Linked DNA regions of Stegostoma tigrinum. The protein of the gene in region 3 purifies or fractionates together with the protein of the main gene of each other region. This does not show direct contact. Links are inferred from orthologs where the notes say so. Each region holds a gene or a part of one and is shown on either strand. Other genes may lie near its edges. The genes, in order: kif23, racgap1 and shcbp1.

Region 1 (7,498 bases), on a different chromosome or scaffold from region 3:
TGTTGGACTATAACCTGGTGTCGTATGATTTCTGACAAAACTACCTCGGCACAGCTTCTTTAGTTACAAGATTTTAGACAATACAGAAGTAAAACATCCAGCATTACAGAAAAGAGTTCAGTACAGCAGACCACGCTGACACTTTGCTTCCAGTCCACAAGGGGCCCTGGCTCCAACCTGCAGCAGTGACACGCCATGCCAAGAGGCCACTGTCCCAGAATTGCAACGTCACCACACCATACTGGGAGGCCCCTACAAGAGGAGGCCAATGCAGGAGGCTGGAAGTTCCCCACACCATGGAATGATGTTTCTATGGGAAGAAGCCACTGTGCCAGGCTGGGAGATTGCCATGCCATGCCTGGAGGCTGCTGTGGCAGGCCATTGTGCCAGGCCAGGAGTTGTTGCTTAAGGCCTGGAATCATCACCGGACACTGGTAATCATTACTGGAGGCTGGGAATTGCCGCTTGAGACTGGGAACCAACACTAGAGGCTGGGAATCATCACCAGAGGGGAATCGCTGCAGGGGGCTGGGAATCACCGCCAGAGGCTGGGGATCTTTCCTAATAACATGTTTCCTATAGCAGGGAGATCAGAATTGAATGCAGTTTTCCAAAATCTGGGAGTTGTCAGGCATCACTGGCTCTTGTACTTTGAACTCTGGCCATACATTTGGTCAAGCATTGGCAGTCTGGAATTGTCCTTCACTGTCAAACGGCACAATGACAAATTCTCACAGCATAGATTCAGCATGGCAGACACTGTATTGCACACTGCCACCCCAATCACTTGTTAAGGACCAACTACACACCTCATGGTCCATATCCACTTCCCATCTCACAACCTTCTGTAAATCACTGCTACTCCACCACAATTCCCATTGGAGCCCAGCATCTTATCATTGATCACTTTGAGGCTGGCACAGACAGATAAGCCTTCAAACATAATTTATGAATAACTTTTATACTTAAATCAAAAGTGCTCAGAATTGAAACAAGCACAGGCTTCATTTCCCTACTCACTACACAAACAAGCCACTGGCACCTTGAGCACCAAGTATATTATAGTCAGGGAGTGATCATTACACCCAGCTCACTCCTGCTGGGCCAGGTGTCAATCACGTTCTACCTGGCTTTGTGGCACCCATTGTGGCAGGGCTCGGCTTTGCGCAAGGCGATGTTCCATAAGTAGACAAAAAAATTGCTGGAAGAGCTCAGCAGGTCTGGCAGCACCTTCTGACAGAAATCAGAGTTAATGCTTTGGTTCCAGTGCCCCTTCCTCAGAACACATATTCCATATCAAATATTCCATAAGATGGAGCAGAAATAGGCCATTCAGCCCATTGAGTCTGCTCCTCCTTTGAATGAGATCATGGCTGACATGACAATCCTTGGCTCCACTTTCCTACCTTTACCCCGTAACCCTTGATTTCTTCACTGAATAAAAATCTATCTCAGCCTTGAATATAGTGAATGATGTAGCCTTGAAAGGCTTACTTCTGCTCCCAAACATGTCTCCTTCTACCCAGAGCAGTGGCTCATCAGCAATTTGCAAAGGTTATAACAGTGAAAGTAAACGGTGGGTTCCCAATTGATACCCAGAACCTTCAAACCGATTTTAAGGATAACGCAGCTCCTGAACCTATTCTCCCTTCACAAAGAGTCTCCAAATCTGGATGCCAGTCAGGGGCTGTGTCAAGTTGCCTCCAAAATGTCCACACTGGCTCCAACTCTCCCTGGGGACAGAAGGTCATGGCTTTAAAGCACATGGCAGAGACTCGAACAAATTATTCAGGCTGACACTTCCAGTGCAATGCTGAGCGAGAGCTACACATCAGAGATGCAGGATTTTGGATGAAACATTGAGCTGAGATCCTCAGAAGGGCATCAGATAAAAGATCCCATGGGCATGTTTTGAGGAGTAGTAGTGAGTTTTCCCTGGTCTCCTGGCCAATACCCAGCTCTCACATCAACATCACCGAAAGAACATTATCTCATCATTATTGCATTGCTGTCTGAGGAATCTTGTTGTGTGCAAAATGGTTGTCATGTTTCTTAAATTAGGTCAGTAATAAAAGTTTTAAAAATCCTCCCTTATATAACACTTTTTGAATGTCAAAGTCATGAAAGATATTGCTTAAATACCAGAATTTAAGAAAGCCTGGCTACGGCTGTTATATAGCAGGGTAGTGTTTTGTAGGATAGTCCAGTTAAGAATAAGGGGTCACACATTTAAGTCAGAGATAAGGAGGGATATCTTTTCTGAGACAGTAGAGAATCTGTGGAATTGTTTACCATAGAGGATTGTCAAGGTATATAAATAATTATATTAAAGGCTGAGATAGACAAATGTTTAATCAGTAAGGGTGTGGTGAAAAAGCAAGAAAGTAGAGTTGAGAATCATCAGATCAGCTATAATCTCATTGAATGATGAGCAGACTTGATAGGCTAAATGGCCTATTTCTGCTCCTGTATTTTACGTTCTATTTAAAAATCCCCATTACGTGAATTACGCTGCTATACCAGCAGCATCTGTTTGAGGGCACGTGTGAGCAGAGACTGTAAGCAGTTGATCATGTCACAATGACTTGAATGGTCCTTAATACCAATTGAGTGCAATCTGGAACGTCATTCCCTTGAAAGCGACAGGCCAAACAAACCTCAGGCAAATCAAAGCATATAGAAACATACATGTAGCTCTAAGGTTTTAGAGTAGATCTGTAGCTCAGGTTGTGTGTGTTGAGGTTGGTTGGCTCGCCGAGCTGGTTTGATGTTTCGCAGATGTTTCGTTACAGTGCTTGGTAACATCCTCAGTGCAGCCTCCGATGAAGCATCGGTGTGTTTTCCTGCCTGGTTTTTAAACTCTGGGGTCCGGTAAGATGGATTGCCTCACTTCCAGTTTTCCTTCATAGTGGAATGTATACGGGGTCGAGTTCAATGTGTTTATTAAGAGTCTGCTTCGTGGAGTGCCATGCTTCCAGGAATCCTCGTGCTTGTCTCTGCCTAGCCTGTCCCAGGATCTTGGTGTTGTCCCAGTCAAAGTCGTGGTTCTCCTTGTCCATGTGGATTAAGGTGAGTGATTATTGGTTGTGTCTTTTTGTAGCCAGTTGGTGTTCATGTATTCTTGCTGTTAGTTTCCTTCCTGTTTGTTTGATGTAGTGTTTCTCGTAGTCTCTGCAGGGGATCTTGCAGATGAAATTGGTCCTGTCCATGGCGGGGAGTGGATCTTTAGTTTGGATGAGCACTTGTCACAGGGTTAATGTAGGTTTGTGTGCCACTCTGATGCCCAGTGGTCGTAGAAGTCTTGTGGTGAGTTCTGATGTATTCCTCATGTAGGGGTAGTGTGATGAGTGTGTCGGGGCATGTAGAATCTTTCTGATGCTGTTCCTATAGGCATCTCCTGACCCAGTTCTTTGAATATCTATTATCCTTGAACACTTGGAAGAGGTATTCCTCCTCCTCCTGGCGTAGTGAAGCACTTACTTGCTTTTTCACCATACCCTATGACTGTATTAGTCCTGCCCTGATCTGCCTTTCCAAAATGTAGCACCTCACATTTATCTAAATTAAAGTTCATTTGCCAGTCCTCAGCCCATTGGCCCATCTGATCAAGGTCCCACTGTACTCTGAGGTAACCTCCTTCGCTGTGCACTACAGCTTCAATCTCATTAACCATACCTCCTATGTTCACATTCGAATCATTTATAGAAATGACAAAAAGCAGTGGACCCAGTACATTGGACCTCTCTGATGAAGGGTCTAGGCCCGAAACGTCAGCTTCTGTGCTCCTGAGATGCTGCTGGGCCTGCTGTGTTCATCCAGCCTCACATTTTATTATCTTGGATTCTCCAGTTCCCATTATCCCAGCACATTGCTGGTCACAAGCCTCCAGTCTATAGTTTTCTCATAACTATAGTTTCGTGATCCGAGCAACAATGGAGAAATCAAACAAGCTCTAGGTTAATGATAAACCTTGACACTAGTGACATTGACAGCTAGGAATACGCACGCGCCAGCTTTCCGCTGTGGCAATACGCATGCGCCAGCTTCCCCTCGCAAAAGCGGTGCGCATGCTTCAACTGTCCCCAGATAACAAAGTGTGCAGCTGGATGAACACAGCAGGCCCAGCAGCATCTCAGGAGCACAAAAGCTGTCGTTTCGGGCCCAGACCCTTCATCCCCAACTTCAACTGTCCCCACTCGGCTGCGGTGCGCATTCGCTCGCTCCCTCGGCTTGCAAGCCGTGGCGGCGCGCATGCGCAAATTCCGCCATGCCGATGAAGTCCGCTGAGTTCCCCTCGCAGCGATGCGCATGGGCTTGGCTGGCCCCTCCCCTTGGGCAGACCATGTACGGGAAGGGAACAAGTGCGCGTGCGCACCGGACCCGCGGCCTGATTGACAGGAGGATGGAGCCTGTCCAATGGGAGGTGGGGAGAGCCCGGGCCAATGGGAAAGGCGCGGGATTTGAATTGACGGCGGTTGGTGTCGGCGCGGAGGCAGAGCTGTAGCTGGAGCGGCTGCGGGAGGAGTATTGCCCCGCTGTCTGTTATAATTAAAAACTAACGATGAAAACAACGTGAGTATAGATTGTCAGGTTAAACTCCTCTCGATCGATTGATTTTAGATCACGCACTTCTAACCAGCTCTCGCGTTCTTCAACTTTATTCTTCTTTTGTCAGTCTCCATGAATGGCTCCTTTAAAGTTTGAAACTATTTTATTTCGCCCCCGGGGTGACCACTTCCAAGCAAAAAAAAATCATGAAAAATGTGACTTTTAATTGATTTTTGTTTTCAAATTGTACCATCTTAACCTCGTTCTTACTGTTGATGTGTAATGTTTCAATTTTTATTCTACTGATTTTTAAAAATATTTTTACCTACTCGGTAAATATTTTTAAAATTCTACTTGTTTTAAAGGATTGCTTTTATTTGTGACTATGGTCACAATTGGGATCTCTGAGCTGCAACAACAGCCTGCATTTATATTAGCAGCTTCTTAATGTGTTCATCTGTCCCGAGGTTCGTCAGTGTGTGTCATCCTGGTGTCCTCTGTTTTGAATCGTAGCTGAGTGTTTCACTTCCACACACACCCTGCTGACAAAAAAAAACCCTGCAGGTTCCTTTTGTTTTAAAAGCATGGAAAATCTGGACTAGTTCTGATATAGTAACTTGCATTTGTGCCGTATTTTGCATGTAGTGTCATTCCAAGATGATTCACAGAAATGTTAACTGGACAAAACTGTGCTTTAACAACCTCCAAGGAATTGAGTTTGGATGTCCACTTGATCACAGGTAGCTTTAAGCAAAGAATGTTTTAATGTGGGGAGAGAATGAGGTTAAGGCAGGGATTTCCAAGCCTTAGATTATAAAATTCAAAGTATGAAATAATGGGTCTAAAAGCAACTGGAATATTTTTCATTCTGGGTGCCTTGTTTTAGGTAAGATGTTAGGCTTACATGAAAAGTACCAGGGAAAGCACAGTTTGAAATGTTTTGAAAGATTAAATAATGAGAAACTTTTCCTGGCCCACCTAAGGTAGCTGGCATGATAACTAGAGGTGAAATGAGACAGTCTATGTTTTCATCAGATTTTAAGACAGTAGGTCTAAATGTTAAATTGAGCTCCACGCAATCAATGGTCTTGCAAAGAATGCTAGAGTCCTGTGATAGGTCAGACTTATTGATGTGTTACCTTATTTCTAGTAAATTGGCTTTTGTTGGCAGCACTGTATGCCTAAGAGGAGTTGATCTATTCTTGTGCAAAAAAAGGGCACCTCTAGCAGCCCACCGACTCCCACAGCTACCTAGAATACACCTCCTCCCACCCACCCTCCTGCAAAAATTCCATCCCCTATTCCCAATTCCTCCGCCTCCGCCGCATCTGCTCCCACGATAAGACATTCCACTCCCGCACATCCCAGATGTCCAAGTTCTTTAAGGACCGCAACTTTCCCCCCACAGTGATCGAGAACGCCCTTGACCGCGTCTCCCGTATTTCCCGCAAAACATCCCTCACACCCTGCCCCCGCCACAACCGCCCAAAGAGAATCCCCCTCGTTCTCACACACCACCCTACCAACCTCTGGATACAACGCATCATCCTCCGACACTTCCGCCATTTACAATCCGACCCCACCACCCAAGACATTTTTCCATCCCCACCCCGGTCTGCTTTCCGGAGAGACCACTCTCTCCGTGACTCCCTTGTTCGCTCCACACTGCCCTCCAACCCCACCACACCCGGCACCTTCCCCTGCAACCGCAGGAAATGCTACACTTGCCCCCACGCCTCCTCCCTCACCCCTATCCCAGGCCCCAAGATGACATTCCACATTAAGCAGAGGTTCACCTGCACATCTGCCAATGTGGTATACTGCATCCACTGTACCCGGTGCGGCATCCTCTACATTGGGGAAACCAAGCGGAGGCTTGGGGACCGCTTTGCAGAACACCTCCGCTCAGTTCGCAACAAACAACTGCACCTCCAGTCGCAAACCATTTCCACTCCCCCCTCCCATTCTCTAGATGACATGTCCATCATGGGCCTCCTGCAGTGCCACAATGATGCCACCCGAAGGTTGCATGAACAGCAACTCATATTCCGCCTGGGAACCCTGCAGCCTAATGGTATCAATGTGGACTTCACCAGTTTCAAAATCTCCCCTTCCCCTACTGCATCCCTAAACCAGCCCAGTTCGTCCCCTCCCCCCACTGCACCACACAACCAGCCCATCTCTCTCTCTCCCTCTCTCCTGCCCCGCCCCGCATCCCAAAACCAGTCCAACCTGTCTCTGCCTCCCTAACCGGTTCTTCCTCTCACCCATCCCTTCCTCCCACCCCAAGCCGCACCCCCATCTACCTACTAACCTCATCCCACCTCCTTGACCTGTCCGTCTTCCCTGGACTGACCTATCCCCTCCCTACCTCCCCACCTATACTCTCTCCACCTATCTTCTTTACTCTCCATCTTCGGTCCGCCTCCCCCTCTCCCCCTATTTATTCCAGTTCCCTCACCCCATCCCCCTCTCTGATGAAGGGTCTAGGCCCGAAACGTCAGCTTTTGTGCTCCTGAGATGCTGCTTGGCCTGCTGTGTTCATCCAGCCTCACATTTTATTATCTTGGAATTCTCCAGCATCTGCAGTTCCCATTATCTCTCACCTCTAGCAGTGAGAGCTGCACCAGAGTATCAGGCAGGATTTTTATACTCAAGTCCTGGAAGTAGGATTGTGAACCTGGAGCCTTATGATTCAGAAGTGAATGCTTCTAATTAAGCCAGAAATAACAACAAAAGTTGACACTGCCTCTTTGAACTGTGCCTCTAATTGTTTTGCAACTTAATGTTGTGTTCCAAATATCCTCTTTACTAAATGATGCTGTTGCTGCACTCCACTGACTTCTGTGGCAGTACTATGATATTAGCGTTAAGGCTGGCCTGGGATTCATTCAATAGTGTTGCTTTGTCACTGGAGCCCTGAGAACAATGATCTCGCTCTTTTGCTCTG
Region 2 (7,495 bases), on a different chromosome or scaffold from region 3:
GACACCCAGAGTGACTAATTTCCAAATTGAGTTTATACTTCAAATTCTGCTGCTCTCTCTTCAAGTTTCCCAGGTCTAGCTGCTTTAAAAAGGGCTATTCTTCATGTCAGACTTGTTCACCGGTATTAATGGTTAGACACAAAGTAGCACATAGTGAACAGATCCACTCAAACCACCAGGACTCAAGAAATTTGAGGGGGAGAAACTTGAGCAGTGTGGATTATAATTGATACTGAGACAAAGCGGAATGAGATTGAAATGCTTACAAAACTGACACATTGAAAAATGAGAGATCAGCTTGAGGCAGAACATATACATGATGTGGGGGGGGGGGTGGTGATGGGAGGTATAGAGAAGATAATAGATTCAACACAAAAGCTCAACAGTGAGTGAAAATGCACATACATTAACTATTGAATCAATATACAAAGCACAGTGGAATCACAGGCAGACAAATTATTAATATTTAATATAATTTAATACAAAGTCAGTGGTTCTCTTAGTCCCATTGGGTAAAGTCAAAAAGAGTCAGCATATTGTACTGGCAGAAATACAAACAATTGAATCTTTGTGCTTGAAAATTAATGAATTACTTTGGTAGTCCAAATATTTTGGTTGATCTGCAAAGCTTCATGATGCAGTTTTACAGCTCACCAAGCCAGCTTTGGTATCCTATCTCCCAGTTTTATACAAATATACTGAAAACTAAAATTCAAAGTATCTCACAGAAATCTAGATGAATAACATCACTGATCATGGCCATACCCCAACATTAGCAAAGCTAAAAATGCTTACGAGGTTCAATTCCTTCATTCAGTACTTCCATCTGTCTGAGCAACTGCTCGAACATGTTGCGTAGAGTGACCATGGCAGATTCCATTTTCCTATAAAAGAGATTAATGCATAAGAAAAGCAAGGGAACTACAAGTGACAGCTTCCACACATCTCTGTTTTAAACCAAGATTCTTGGTGCAATATTGTCTTGCAATATTCACACACTGGACTTGTATGGGGAGAAAAACCAGGAGAAGATTCAAATTACTCCAAAATGTAATTTTCAACCAACTCAATTTTAGTCCTACAGTTACTTCAGGTGAGGGTCAATGTTCTGCCCACACCGATATCTGCTAGGAATGAACAGTTGGCTCAAAGTCACAAAAAAGGTATCGTGTGCATGTTTGCAGGAATAAACCTACCGATGATGCTTTAAAACAAAAATCATAAAATGGCCATCAGCCCAAAGATGGAGATCAGGCTCGTCACCAGCTCAATTTCAAAAATCCCAGCTCAGTATTAATTCACAGCAAAAGACAAGAGCTGAAGGGTTTTTAAAGAAACACAGTAGCACAATGCCAACAATCACTCAACAGCACAAAATTTACTATTAATATTTACTTCGTGGAAATTCTGAGCATGTCATGATTTTACCAGTCAGTGTTAAAGACAGCTTGATGCAAATAGTGACAAAAACAATACTTTATTAAACTAAATCATGTCCAATTATAACTGATAACAGTTTAAGGACTAAAATTTCCATGGAATTTAAATGAAGCAACTAAAACAAACTGAAGAATCTCAGTGACATATCGCAGCCAAAAGGCCTCCAGCAATATAAAAACAGTGCTGCAGCAGCAGCTCCTTGATTTCGAAGTCATTCCACAGAGATTTTTGACAATAATATTTGTTCCAAAAATAACTGCATTCGCAAGAGATTGCTTAAACAACCCTCAAATTTGATGAGGCAGTCACATTAAGTATTGCAGACCTATTAAGTGTTTAAAATCCAAGTTCTAACGACACAATGTGTTGCAACTTATAGCATTAACAGATGGGGAAACCATTCACTTCAAAGTACTAAAATTTCTGTTTTTGAATCTTGCGCCTCTCCAACTCAAATTGAACAAAAACTTTATAAAAAGCTATTGCTGAAGCAATAAATGCTGATATCTAACTACATCCCATTCAAGTACACAGAGCACTCTATGCAAGACCAGAAATGTACAGCATCAGGATTGCAGTGAGGGGGTTAAAAATCAGTGCTATGAATTGAAATTACTTCATTGAAGCTACAAGAGTGAACCACATAACATTAAAGTTAACACATTACACTTTCTCTGGGTGGAAAGAAAGTCTTTCCATTTCTCAACCCAGTCAGCATTTCTTGCCTGCAGATCCATCAACACACAAGGTTGACAGCTATATTACTGCAATTAACAAAACAATTAGTAGCACTCTTGGTTTCAATTCCCACATCAGAGAATTGAATACCAAGATCTAAACTGGTACTCCCAATGCAGTGCTGCACTGTCAGAGAAGTGCTGTCTTTTGGATGAGACATTAAACTGGTGTGGATGCAACATAATAATGTGTAGAGCTGGATGAACACAGCAGGTCAAGCAGCATCTTAGGAGCAGGAAAGCTGACATTTCAGGCCTAGACCCATTTCTGATGAAGGATCGAGGCTCAAAACGTCAGTTTTCCTGTTCCTCTGATGCTGTTTGGCCTGCTGTGTTCATCCAGCTCTACACCTTGTTATCTCAGATTCTCCAGCATCTGCAGTTCTTATTAGCTTGGTTGCATGACGATCCTGAGGCACTCTGTGACCGAACTGGGAAGTCCTCTGGTGTCCTGGCAAATATTTGTACCTCAAACTAACATAACAAAAGACAATTATCTGGGTTCATTTCCACATTTCTGTTTGCGGGAGATTGCTGTGTGCAATTTAGCCGCAGTGTTTCCTATACTACAGCAGTAATTACGGTTGAAAACGTTCATTCTTTACTGTGAAGCACTTTAGGACATTCTACAGATGGGGAAGGCGAGAGAAATACCTGGCTTTATCAAGTAGCCAATGGCCTAGTGCTATACAGACATTTTTAATACACTCGAGGGCCCAGCACATATCTCGATCACCACAAAGGGCTCGCCTTTTCTCTGATCGCGGAGATCCTGGAAGGAGACGAACGACACTTCCCGCTTTTCCACGGGGCCCAGGAGCCCGACTACCATCGCCCACCCAACTTAAAATCAACAACATCCCGCTATCGGGGGAACGGCACCGATCTCAAGAGGGGAGAGCAAAAACAATCTCTAGATTCCCGACCCATTTTCCCCCAGGAGCCCTTACCGCTTTGTCCGCCGCTCTCCACCTGGTTCCGGCTCCGTTACTCCAGACGTTTTCGCGGCCTGATTTCAAATTTGCTTCAACCGCCAATCAGGATACGGTCTCCTGACGTGCCACGTACGCCCCAATGACGCAATCACGCATCGAAGGTATTGAGATAATAAAATGTGAGGCTGGATGAACACAGCAGGCCAAGCAGCATCTCAGGAGCACAAAAGCTGACGTTTCGGGCCTAGACCCTTCATCAGAGAGGGGGATGGGGGGAGGGAACTGGAATAAATAGGGAGAGAGGGGGAGGCGGACCGAAGATGGAGAGTAAAGAAGATAGGTGGAGAGAGTGTAGGTGGGGAGGTAGGGAGGGGATAGGTCAGTCCAGGGAAGACGGACAGGTCAAGGAGGTGGGATGAGGTTAGTAGGTAGCTGGGGGTGCGGCTTGGGGTGGGAGGAAGGGATGGGTGAGAGGAAGAACAGGTTAGGGAGGCAGAGACAGGTTGGACTGGTTTTGGGATGCAGTGGGTGGGGGGGAAGAGCTGGGCTGGTTGTGTGGTGAAGTGGGGGGAGGGGACGAACTGGGCTGATTTAGGGATGCGGTGGGGGAAGGGGAGATTTTGAAGCTGGTGAAGTCCACATTGATACCATATGGCTGCAGGGTTCCCAGGCGGAATATGAGTTGCTGTTCCTGCAACCTTCGGGTGGCATCATTGTGGCACTGCAGGAGGCCCATGATGGACATGTCATCTAGAGAATGGGAGGGGGAGTGGAAATGGTTTGCGACTGGGAGGTGCAGTTGTTTGTTGCGAACTGAGCGGAGGTGTTCTGCAAAGCAGTCCCCAAGCCTCCGCTTGGTTTCCCCAATGTAGAGGAAGCCGCACCGGGTACAGTGGATGCAGTATACCACATTGGCAGATGTGCAGGTGAACCTCTGCTTGATGTGGAATGTCATCTTGGTGCCTGGGATAGGGGTGAGGGAGGAGGTGTGGGGACAAGTGTGGCATTTCCTGCGGTTGCAGGGGAAGGTGCCGGGTGTGGTGGGGTTGGAGGGCAGTGTGGAGCGAACAAGGGAGTCACGGAGAGAGTGGTCTCTCCGGAAAGCAGACAGGGGAGGGGATGGAAAATTGTCTTGGGTGGTGGGGTCGGATTGTAAATGGCAGAAGTGTCGGAGGATAATGCGTTGTATCCGGAGGTTGGTAGGGTGGTGTGTGAGAACGAGGGGGATCCTCTTGGGGCGGTTGTGGCGGGGGCGGGGTGTGAGGGATGTGTCGCGGGAAATGTGGGAGACGCGGTCAAGGGCGTTCTCGATCACCGTGGGGGGAAAGTTGCGGTCCTTAAAGAACTTGGACATCTGGGATGTGCGGGAGTGGAATGTCTTGTCGTGGGAGCAGATGCGGCGGAGGCGGAGGAATTGGGAATAGGGGATGGAATTTTTGCAGGAGGGTGGGTGGGAGGAGGTGTATTCTAGGTAGCTGTGTGAGTCGGTGGGCTTGAAATGGACATCAGTTACAAGCTGGTTGCCTGAGTTGGAGACTGAGAGGTCCAGGAAGGTGAGGGATGTGCTGGAGATGGCCCAGGTGAGCTGAAGGTTGGGTTGGAAGGTGTTGGTGAAGTGGATGAACTGTTCGAGCTCCTCTGGGGAGCAAGAGGCGGCGCCGTTACAGTCATCAATGTACCGGAGGAAGAGGTGGGGTTTGGGGCCTGTGTAGGTGCGGAAGAGGGACTGTTCCACGTAACCTACAAAGAGGCAGGCATAGCTGGGGCCCATGCGGGTGCCCATGGCCACCCCCTTAGTCTGTAGGAAGTGGGAGGAGTCAAAAGAGAAGTTGTTGAGTGTGAGGACGAGTTCAGCTAGGCGGATGAGAGTGTCGGTGGAGGATTGATGACTGTATCGGCGCCGCCTCTTGCTCCCCAGAGGAGCTCGAACAGTTCATCCACTTCACCAACACCTTCCAACCCAACCTTCAGTTCACCTGGGCCATCTCCAGCACATCCCTCACCTTCCTGGACCTCTCAGTCTCCATCTCAGGCAACCAGCTTGTAACTGATGTCCATTTCAAGCCCACCGACTCCCACAGCTACCTAGAATACACCTCCTCCCACCCACCCTCCTGCAAAAATTCCATCCCCTATTCCCAATTCCTCCGCCTCCGCCGCATCTGCTCCCACGACAAGACATTCCACTCCCGCACATCCCAGATGTCCAAGTTCTTTAAGGACCGCAACTTTCCCCCCACGGTGATCGAGAACGCCCTTGACCGCGTCTCCCACATTTCCCGCGACACATCCCTCACACCCCGCCCCCGCCACAACCGCCTCAAGAGGATCCCCCTCGTTCTCACACACCACCCTACCAACCTCTGGATACAACGCATTATCCTCCGACACTTCCGCCATTTACAATCCGACCCCACCACCCAAGACATTTTTCCATCCCCTCCCCTGTCTGCTTTCCGGAGAGACCACTCTCTCCGTGACTCCCTTGTTCGCTCCACACTGCCCTCCAACCCCACCACACCCGGCACCTTCCCCTGCAACCGCAGGAAATGCCACACTTGTCCCCACACCTCCTCCCTCACCCCCATCCCAGGCCCCAAGATGACATTCCACATCAAGCAGAGGTTCACCTGCACATCTGCCAATGTGGTATACTGCATCCACTGTACCCGGTGCGGCTTCCTCTACATTGGGGAAACCAAGCGGAGGCTTGGGGACCGCTTTGCAGAACACCTCCGCTCAGTTCGCAAAAAACAACTGCACCTCCCAGTCGCAAACCATTTCCACTCCCCCTCCCATTCTCTTGATGACATGTCCATCATGGGCCTCCTGCACTGCCACAATGATGCCACCCGAAGGTTGCAGGAACAGCAACTCATATTCCGCCTGGGAACCCTGCAGCCATATGGTATCAATGTGGACTTCACCAGCTTCAAAATCTCCCCTTCCCCGACTGCATCCCTCAACCAGCCCAGTTCGTCCCCTCCCCCCACTGCACCACACAACCAGCCCAGCTCTTCCCCCCCACCCATTGCATCCCAAAACCAGTCCAACCTGTCTCTGCCTCCCTAACCGGTTCTTCCTCTCACCCATCCCTTCCTCCCACCCCAAGCCGCACCCCCCGCTACCTACTAACCTCATCCCACCTCCTTGACCTGTCCGTCTTCCCTGGACTGACCTATCCCCTCCCTACCTCCCCACCTACACTCTCTCCACCTATCTTCTTTACTCTCCATCTTCGGTCCGCCTCCCCCTCTCTCCCTATTTATTCCAGTTCCCTCCCCCCATCCCCCTCTCTGATGAAGGGTCTAGGCCCGAAACGTCAGCTTTTGTGCTCCTGAGACGCTGCTTGGCCTGCTGTGTTCGTCCAGCCTCACATTTTATTATCTTGGAATCTCCAGCATCTGCAGTTCCCATCATCTCGAAGGTATTGAGGGCGGGGGTGGGATCGCTCCCGTCTCCTTGCAAAGAAGTCGATTCCCTCATTGGCCGATTGGAAATGTTCTAGTCATGTCACCCTGCTGGCTTGGTTCGACTTGTCTTATCTCACCTACCCAATGAAAAGGGGCACAAACCTTAAAGATTTTAACCAGACAGTCGAGAAAGGTTTGACAATAATTTGTTACTGTTGTATCATGGCTACCATTTCTTTATGCAACTTGGATCTAGATTGGCAACCTTTGTATATCCATAATTAGCTGGAACATTAGGCTGAGGCAGGAACGAAGTTGGTCATCTGCAGCTAAAACCTTCACCCGTGCCTTTATTATCTCTCGACACAACTGCATTCTGGCTGGTCTGACTCATATTCGGATAATATTCCTGTCGTTAGCTTTCCTGATGTGGAGATGCTGGTGTTGAACTATAACCTGTTAGCTTTCTTGACATTAGCGATGGGCTTCCATATAAGAGCAGGAGTCTTTTCTAAGTAAAGGATAGCTTGCTTTCTCACCTACACTCCGCTCATGGTATGCTTTATCATAGCAAGATAAAGCACGAATAAGCCGTCTCAGACCCCGATGCCTACTCATGGCTTAGCATCTACAATAATGCCAGATACTTGAATTATACTCCTCCCATGATATCATTAGTAATTAAAAATCATCTCGCTCCTAAACGATTTGCTTTTTATTCTGAGACAACCTTCTCTGGTTCTAGACCCCACAGCCAGGGGAAACGGCGTCTCTGTATGTAATCTTTCTATCTCTTTTAATAATTTTGTAGATTTGTGAGATTGCCTCATTCTTCTAAACTCCCGAGTACGCAGGTTCAGTCTCCTCAATTTCTTCTCAAAGGCAAGTCCCACTATCCTAGATAACAAAGTGTAGAGCTGGATGAACACAGCAGGCCAAGCAGCATCTTAGGAGCACAAAAACTCGTTTC
Region 3 (6,973 bases):
TCGGTACTTCTGTGAACCCCTCTCTCTCTCCCTCTAAAGAGACAGACTATGTCATATGTACTAAATGCTGATATACAATGAGCACTAGGGCGCAGTAACAGAAAATGGGCCGCAACTGGGCTGAAGAAAGGTAAAACTTTAGACCCATCAGATTAGGAGGACTGAATTTCTCAAACACATCTTACTTCACATTGCCTGTGGTCCCCAGAGTCGAATACCTTGCAATGAAGGAACTACAATCCATGAGATCCTTATTGCTCAACACTTCCTCCCTTTCTACAGCAGCTTTTGTACTGTGGACAAAGAGCCAGGACACTGAATGATTTACGTAACGTGGCATTCTGAAAGACTCCACCAAATCAATCAAGGCATCTGAACTACTTCTTTAGAAGTCCTTTTGATGTTCTCTCCAGTTACCCCACAGTTTGTTGTACTTTCCCTCAGCAATAGATGTGCGATTCCACATCTGAGTAAGTAGCTATGTCCCAGTATCCATTCTTGAAGGCATGCAGGGACCAGATAAGCTGTGACACCTGGAGCTGCTGAAGCATGTAGGTCTTACTTCCCAAGAAATATCCACACATCAAAAGGATCCTTTCATAGTGATCACAGTTTTACAATCAAGACGCTGGAAGCCTTCATGTTAAAAAGGCAGCTTGCTGCTCGGCGAGCACCTTGAGGGTCATCTGCACACAGTCACTCAAATTGTGCAACTGGAGGTATCCAGCAATGAGTCTATCAGCTTGAATGTCTGGACTGGTGTGGAAGCAGTGGTCTCAAAAGTGTTTTGGTGACCATCTTGATGCATTGATGCAGTTTAGACGGCAAGATCTTACACCAATCTCCTGTTGATAACTGGAATGACCTGGTAACACAGAAGTTAAATGCCATTGTGATCGTCAGCACCACTGACAGGTAGTTCCAATTCCGACAGGCACAAGCTTACCATACAGGTTGCGACACCAGCAACAGCCTCCCCGAAGTGGCACAATCTGCAGAGGCACTGGTTCTCCAACATCCAAACATAATTAAGCCACAGATGGTAGACCTTTTTGAAGCTGTAGCCTCTTCTTTACACAGAAGGCTGTGTGTGTGGGGTCCTCTGCACTTTTCTGTTTATTGGCCTGATGACGGCACCCTGCCACCTCTGCTTTAACGTCTCACTCTACTTCACCTCTTCAAGAAGGGCTCCAAATCCTTAGAGGGGGGCAATGGAGGTGGTCAGTCAGCTTACAATGACATTTTCCCCACCAACATATTTTTCTGTTCTAGTGCCAAGGGCCTGATGGAATGCCTCCACAATTCTGGGTCCTTTTCCTCTTCTTGGCTTTATATGCTACTGCTCTTGCTGCTCCAACCACTCTGTTACACCATGCTCGCTCTTGCAATGACTGCAAGATGAAACCTGTGCCAAATTCCTACTAGCTTGTTACTTCCTTTTATCAGATGTCACTTTGAAGCCTCTATGTACTGTTACTAAACTGCCAGTGGAAAATCATTCTGCCATCTCTAGCCTGGCTTGTATCCCTGTGCATGTATTAATTCTATTACCAAAGCTAAATATTTTTGAGCGTCTGCATTTTCTAAACTTCTCATTTTCAAGATCTGGATTTATGTTACAATATCACTATCATTCTATTCTACTTATAGCAATATATAATTATATTTAGAAACATTATTTTTTAAAAAAAACTAACCCAAGATGTAATCCTGGTAGGCCCTGTATCGCTCATAATAGGTGAGGTGAGTTGTCTCAATAACTTCCGGAAATTTGGTTGCTCCGGGATTCAACAAATTCTCCTTTTCAGGGCTGTCATGACTGCCCTTAATTTCCACTTGATCTTGAAATACAGTCAGATATAAAATGAATAACATTTGTTGTCAAGCACAATTCCTACACAATTCAAACAGAAGCCCTGATAACAAAGTGTGGAGCTGGATGAACACAGCAGGCCAAGCACCATCTTAGAAGCATATGTTCCTAAGATGCTGCTTGGCCAGCTGTCTTCATCCAGCTCCACAATTTGTTGTCTTGGATTCTCCAGCATTTGCAGTTCCCATTATCTCAAATAGAAGCCCTGTTTAGCTAGTTTCAGTTTTAAATACAATATTACGATATGGTTGTTCTCATGGTATTTAGCTACAGAATTTGCAACAAATCAGGTAGTGCATAAGAGATAACAAAGTGTGGAGCTGGATGAACACAGCAGGCCAAGCAGCATCTTAGGAGCACAAAAGCTGACGTTTCAGGCCTAGACCCTTCTTAGTGCATAAGAGTTACTTTGAAGAATAGCTGATTGAACCTTACAAGATCAACTAGCAAAATACTGCAGACCATAATTCACAAGTTTGAGCTGGTGAGGGCTTTCAAGAACAGAACAATATTTGAAAAAAATCATCAAAATACACAATTGTTTATAAAGAGTGTAAAGCATTATATGTAACATTCCTACAGTTATTATTGCAAAAAATATGGTTTCCTTGAGCTACAGAACTGCGCCATTGAGCTATTGACAGTTCAAATCCTGTCAGACAAGTTGTGAACTTGAATTTTTAAAATATGGTAGTTTAGAGGCTAGCACCATATAACGAGCACGAAACTTACAGGGTTTGTAACTGTCTAATTTGTTGATAGAAGCCTTCAGGCTGGGGAACCTGAACCCTGACCCAACCCTGCTAGACACCATTACACCGTCAATGCACACATTTTACTCTTTAGGATGTCAAGGGATGGGAATAAATACATTCACTTCAATATCCCAAGGAACAAATATAACAAGAAAACACCAAGGGACGGAGAATAGGGCAGCTGTGCCCTCCTCCCGGTGCAGAGAGCCCGGGTCGGGGGTGTCGAGGTCTACTCCTCCCGCCCTCACCTTCTCCGGGTACCGTCGGATCCGCCAGCGCCACCACTATTGCTGCCTCGACCATTCCGTGTATCGAGCCTAACTCCCCGAGGCCGAGGCCGATGCCGATGCCGATAGTAACCGCAGGCCTAGTCTCCTCTGACAGTTACAACGAGCTCCCAATTCAAATTCTGCCGCTTGTTTTTCTTAATTGGTTGTGCTGGCGGCAAGAGCGGCAGCTGACCGAGAGTATCAACACAGTGTCCCGTGCGGCCAGGAAGAGTATCAGCAGGCTGCAAACTGGAGAAGCGATCGCAACCTCAAAGCCAGAAGGTGTGACAGCGCCTCCACGGCAAGGAGGAGTGACAGCATCCCAAAAGCCGGGAGGAGTGACAGCCCATGCCCAGGCATCCAGTCAGAAGTGACAGAAAGTCATGGAGTACAACAAAGTAAGTGACACTTACTAGTGTAAGATCGAATAGATTAACTCTTCTCCCTCCAATTTAAAAGAATGCAATATGAACTCATTAAATTATATAATATTTCAAAGGGGTTTGATGCTGAGATGATATTTTTCTGGCTTTGACGTCTCAGTCTGGAACTGAGATTTGGAGTCTCAGAATAAAGTAGCAGCAATTGATGAGAATTTTTCCACTCAGAGTTAAGAATCTTAGGAATTCGAGAGATTTGAGTACCAAGCGTTCAGTAAATAAAGAATTTTCTTTTAAATACTGGGGGAATTAAGAGAGATGGGGTCAGTGTGGGACACTACAATCAGACATGAAAATCAGCCAGGATCTTTATGAATGGCAAAACAGGCAAAAGGAATCAAAAGGCACATTCCAGTTTTTTTTAATGTCCTGAGAACAATTGTGTTTGAACACCATTATTTCTAAGTTGACCTCAGAGTCACATGTCCTTCTGATTTTGTATATCACCATTTCTCATTGCGGCTGGGCCAATATCCTAGAAATTCTTATTTCAGAGCATAGTGGAGACATTACAGGACTTGAAAGATAAGGCAAACCACCACATTTCAAGAACAAAAAATAATGGAAAATAAACTCTGCCACAGTGTCAACTATATCCAAAGACTTTTTTTTAAAAAAAAGGAGTCTTCATTTTATATCTTCTGCAGTTTCAGTAGGTTTTATGTTGCCTTTTCAACTTACAGTTTCTTTGAGCAAAACAATGCCATGATCACACAAGGTGAAGGACACGTATTTTGCAAATTCCATATACATACACAATATTAAAAAACACTTCTAATTATCAATATATGGGTAAGTTGTAGAGTCGTAGTGTCATACAGCTTGGAAATAGGCCTTTCAGTCCAACTTGTCCATGCCAACCAAGTTTCCCAAATTAAACTGATCTCACTTGCCTGCATTCGGCCCATATCCCTCTCGGCCCGAAACAACAGCTTTCCTGTTCCTCTGATGCTGCTTGGCCTGCAATGTTCATGCAGTTCTACACCTTGTCATCCCTCCAAACCATTCCTATTTATGTACTTATCCAAATGTCTTTTAACTAGTAACTCTACCTGCATCCACCACTTTCTCTGGCAGTTCGTTTCACAAACTACTCTGTGTAAAAAATGTCACCCTCATTTTCTTTTTAAATCCTTCTCCTCTTTCCTGAAAAATACACCCCTGGTTTTGAATTCCCCCATTGTAGGGAAAAGACACTTTCTACATACTTTTTCTACACCCTTCATGATTTTATAAACTTCAATAAGGTCACCCCTCAATCCCCAATGCTCCAGTGAAAAATGTCCTAGCCTATCTTTATAACTCAAATCTTCCATTCCCAGTGCCACAAACCATTTACAAAATATAAAAGTTAGTTTGAAAATGACACATGTATCCATTAATCTCTGTGCTCACAAAAACTAACATTTTTGAGTGAAAATTACTTATCCTAAGGATATACCTACATTGAGTTTGTAGACTTGCTTGCCGAGCCAGCGTGTTTGATTGCAAACGTTTTGTCACCCTGCTAGGTAACATCATCAGTGCACCTCTGATGAAGCATTGGTGTTCCGTCCCACTTGTTATTTATGTGCCTCAGTTTGCTGGGCTGTTTGGCTTCACTTCTGGTTCTGTTTTTCAGTGGTTTGTATATCAGGTTCAGTTCAATGTGTTTGTTGCTGGAGTTCTGGTTGGAATACCAGGCCTCCAGGAATTTCCTGGCATGTCTCTGTTTATCATGTGCTACTATTGATGTGTTGTCCCAGTTGAATTCATGTCCTTCTTTGTCCACGTGTATTCGGGCCAATGAGAATTGGTCGTGTCTCTTGGTGACTCATTGGTGTTCATGTATCCTTATTGTCAGTTTCCTTCCAGTTTGGCCTATGTAATGTTTCTCTAGTCCTTGGAGAGTATTTTGTATTATATTAGTTTCAATGGTTTCGGGTAAGGGATCCTTTACGTTGCTGGGGTGTCGCAGGGTGGTTGTTGGTTTGTGGGCTACCTGATACCTAGGGGTCTGAGAAGTCTTATGGTCATCTCTGACATGTCCCTGATGTACACTAGGGTGACAAGTGTGTCTGGCCATGTTGTGTCCTTTTGTTGTGATCATCCGTGGAGGTAATAGCGAGTTGTACTTTTTGGATATCCATTCTTTTTAAAAACTCCGTATAAGTGCCCTGTTCCAATTTGTGCAATTCCAGGTTGCTACAGTGTGTTGTGGCTTATTTGAATAATGTCCTGATGCAACTCCGTTTGAGTGTTGGAGTCGTTGTAATTAGGTATCTGGTCTGTATGTGTGGTCTTTCTTTATACAAGTCACAATCCACCATTATCTCCGCAGCAGACTACAACAAGGAGACACAACACGACCGAACACACTAGTCACCCTACCATGCATCAGGGGCATATCAGTGATGACCACAAGACTACTCATACCCCTAGATATCAGAGCAGCCAGCAAATCAATAACCACCCTGCGACAGCTTCTGATGAACGAAAAGGATCCCATACCCACAACTATTAGAACTGATGTAATATACAGAATACCATGCAACGACTGTGAGAAACACTACATGTGCCACACTGGAAGAAAACTGACAATAAGGATACACTAGCATCAACTAGCTACTAACAGACACAACCAATTCTCACTGGTCTCAATACACACAGACAAAGAACACAGATTCAACTGGGACAACACATTGATAACAGTACAAGCCGAACAGAGATATGCTGGAGAATTCCTGGAGGCTTGGCATTCCAACTGGAACACCATCAACAAACACATTGAACTGGATCCAATTTATAAACTACTGAAAAACAGAACCAGAAGTGATGCCAACCATCTTAGCAAACCTATGAATAACAAGCAGGACAGAACACCAATGCTTCACCAGAGGTGCACTGACGATGTTACCTAGTAGGGTGACGAAATGTCTGCAATCAAATACACCAAGACTTGGTGAGCAAGTCTACAACCTCATCCACAACCCGAGCTACAAATCTCAAATACTTTAGACCATTATTGGTTGAGAAGATGATGATTGGATCAAATGTCTCTGCGTTAGTGCCTCAAAGGGGAACAATCGTAGTCTCAAAAGAAGTGATTGGAGAAGTACTAACAGAATTAGGAATGTAAATCTGGGCAGCCACCATTTATACATGGGCTAAACTTATTACTGTCTTTGTATTTTAAATAGGTGGATTATTCCAACCTCCAGCTCAGACAACAGCTGGACCTTCAAACTGAAATGTGTCTAAAATAAAGCTCATAAAACAGGTCAATGTATTGTTTCCTGATGAATCCATGATGGTAAAAGCAAATCAGATTATGCTTTGGATAGTATTTCCAAAGTTCTGGGAGGCAGTTTTATATTTGTTGAACTAATGAATCATAGAAATTTATGGCACAGAAGAAAATCATTCAGCCCATCATGTTTGTGCCAGAAAAAGTACTGTCAAGGCTACTCTCAGATACCAACTGTGAGTACATATCCACATACTCTTTAAATACAACGAGAGTTTCTGCCTCTACCACCCTTTCTTGAAAATTAGTTCCAGACACCCATCATCCTCTGATCAAAAAGATTTCTCCTCAACTTCCTCTAATCTTCTCATGAATTACTTTAAGCTATCCCCCCACAAGATATTGACCTC

What was found.
Region 1: the proteins of shcbp1 (region 3) and kif23 purify together in Homo sapiens (affinity purification with western blotting; 9 studies listed by BioGRID and IntAct, with this or other methods). This does not show direct contact. The link is inferred for Stegostoma tigrinum from reciprocal best matches to the Homo sapiens genes SHCBP1 and KIF23.
Region 2: the proteins of shcbp1 (region 3) and racgap1 purify together in Homo sapiens (affinity purification with mass spectrometry; 8 studies listed by BioGRID and IntAct, counting the BioPlex papers as one, with this or other methods). This does not show direct contact. The link is inferred for Stegostoma tigrinum from reciprocal best matches to the Homo sapiens genes SHCBP1 and RACGAP1.

What each region holds. Positions count from the first base shown.
Region 1 is NC_081386.1:31,623,488-31,630,985, forward strand, and holds the start of kif23 (kinesin-like protein KIF23), read left to right. Parts: upstream 1-4,463; 5' UTR 4,464-4,561; coding exon 4,562-4,572; intron 4,573-7,498.
Region 2 is NC_081404.1:14,134,156-14,141,650, forward strand, and holds the start of racgap1 (rac GTPase-activating protein 1), read right to left. Parts: upstream 3,049-7,495; 5' UTR 3,038-3,048; coding exon 2,832-3,037; intron 885-2,831; coding exon 796-884; intron 1-795.
Region 3 is NC_081369.1:30,843,537-30,850,509, reverse strand, and holds the start of shcbp1 (SHC SH2 domain-binding protein 1), read right to left. Parts: upstream 3,059-6,973; 5' UTR 2,932-3,058; coding exon 2,877-2,931; intron 1,842-2,876; coding exon 1,698-1,841; intron 1-1,697. UniProt on the Homo sapiens protein: May play a role in signaling pathways governing cellular proliferation, cell growth and differentiation. May be a component of a novel signaling pathway downstream of Shc. Acts as a positive regulator of FGF signaling in neural progenitor cells.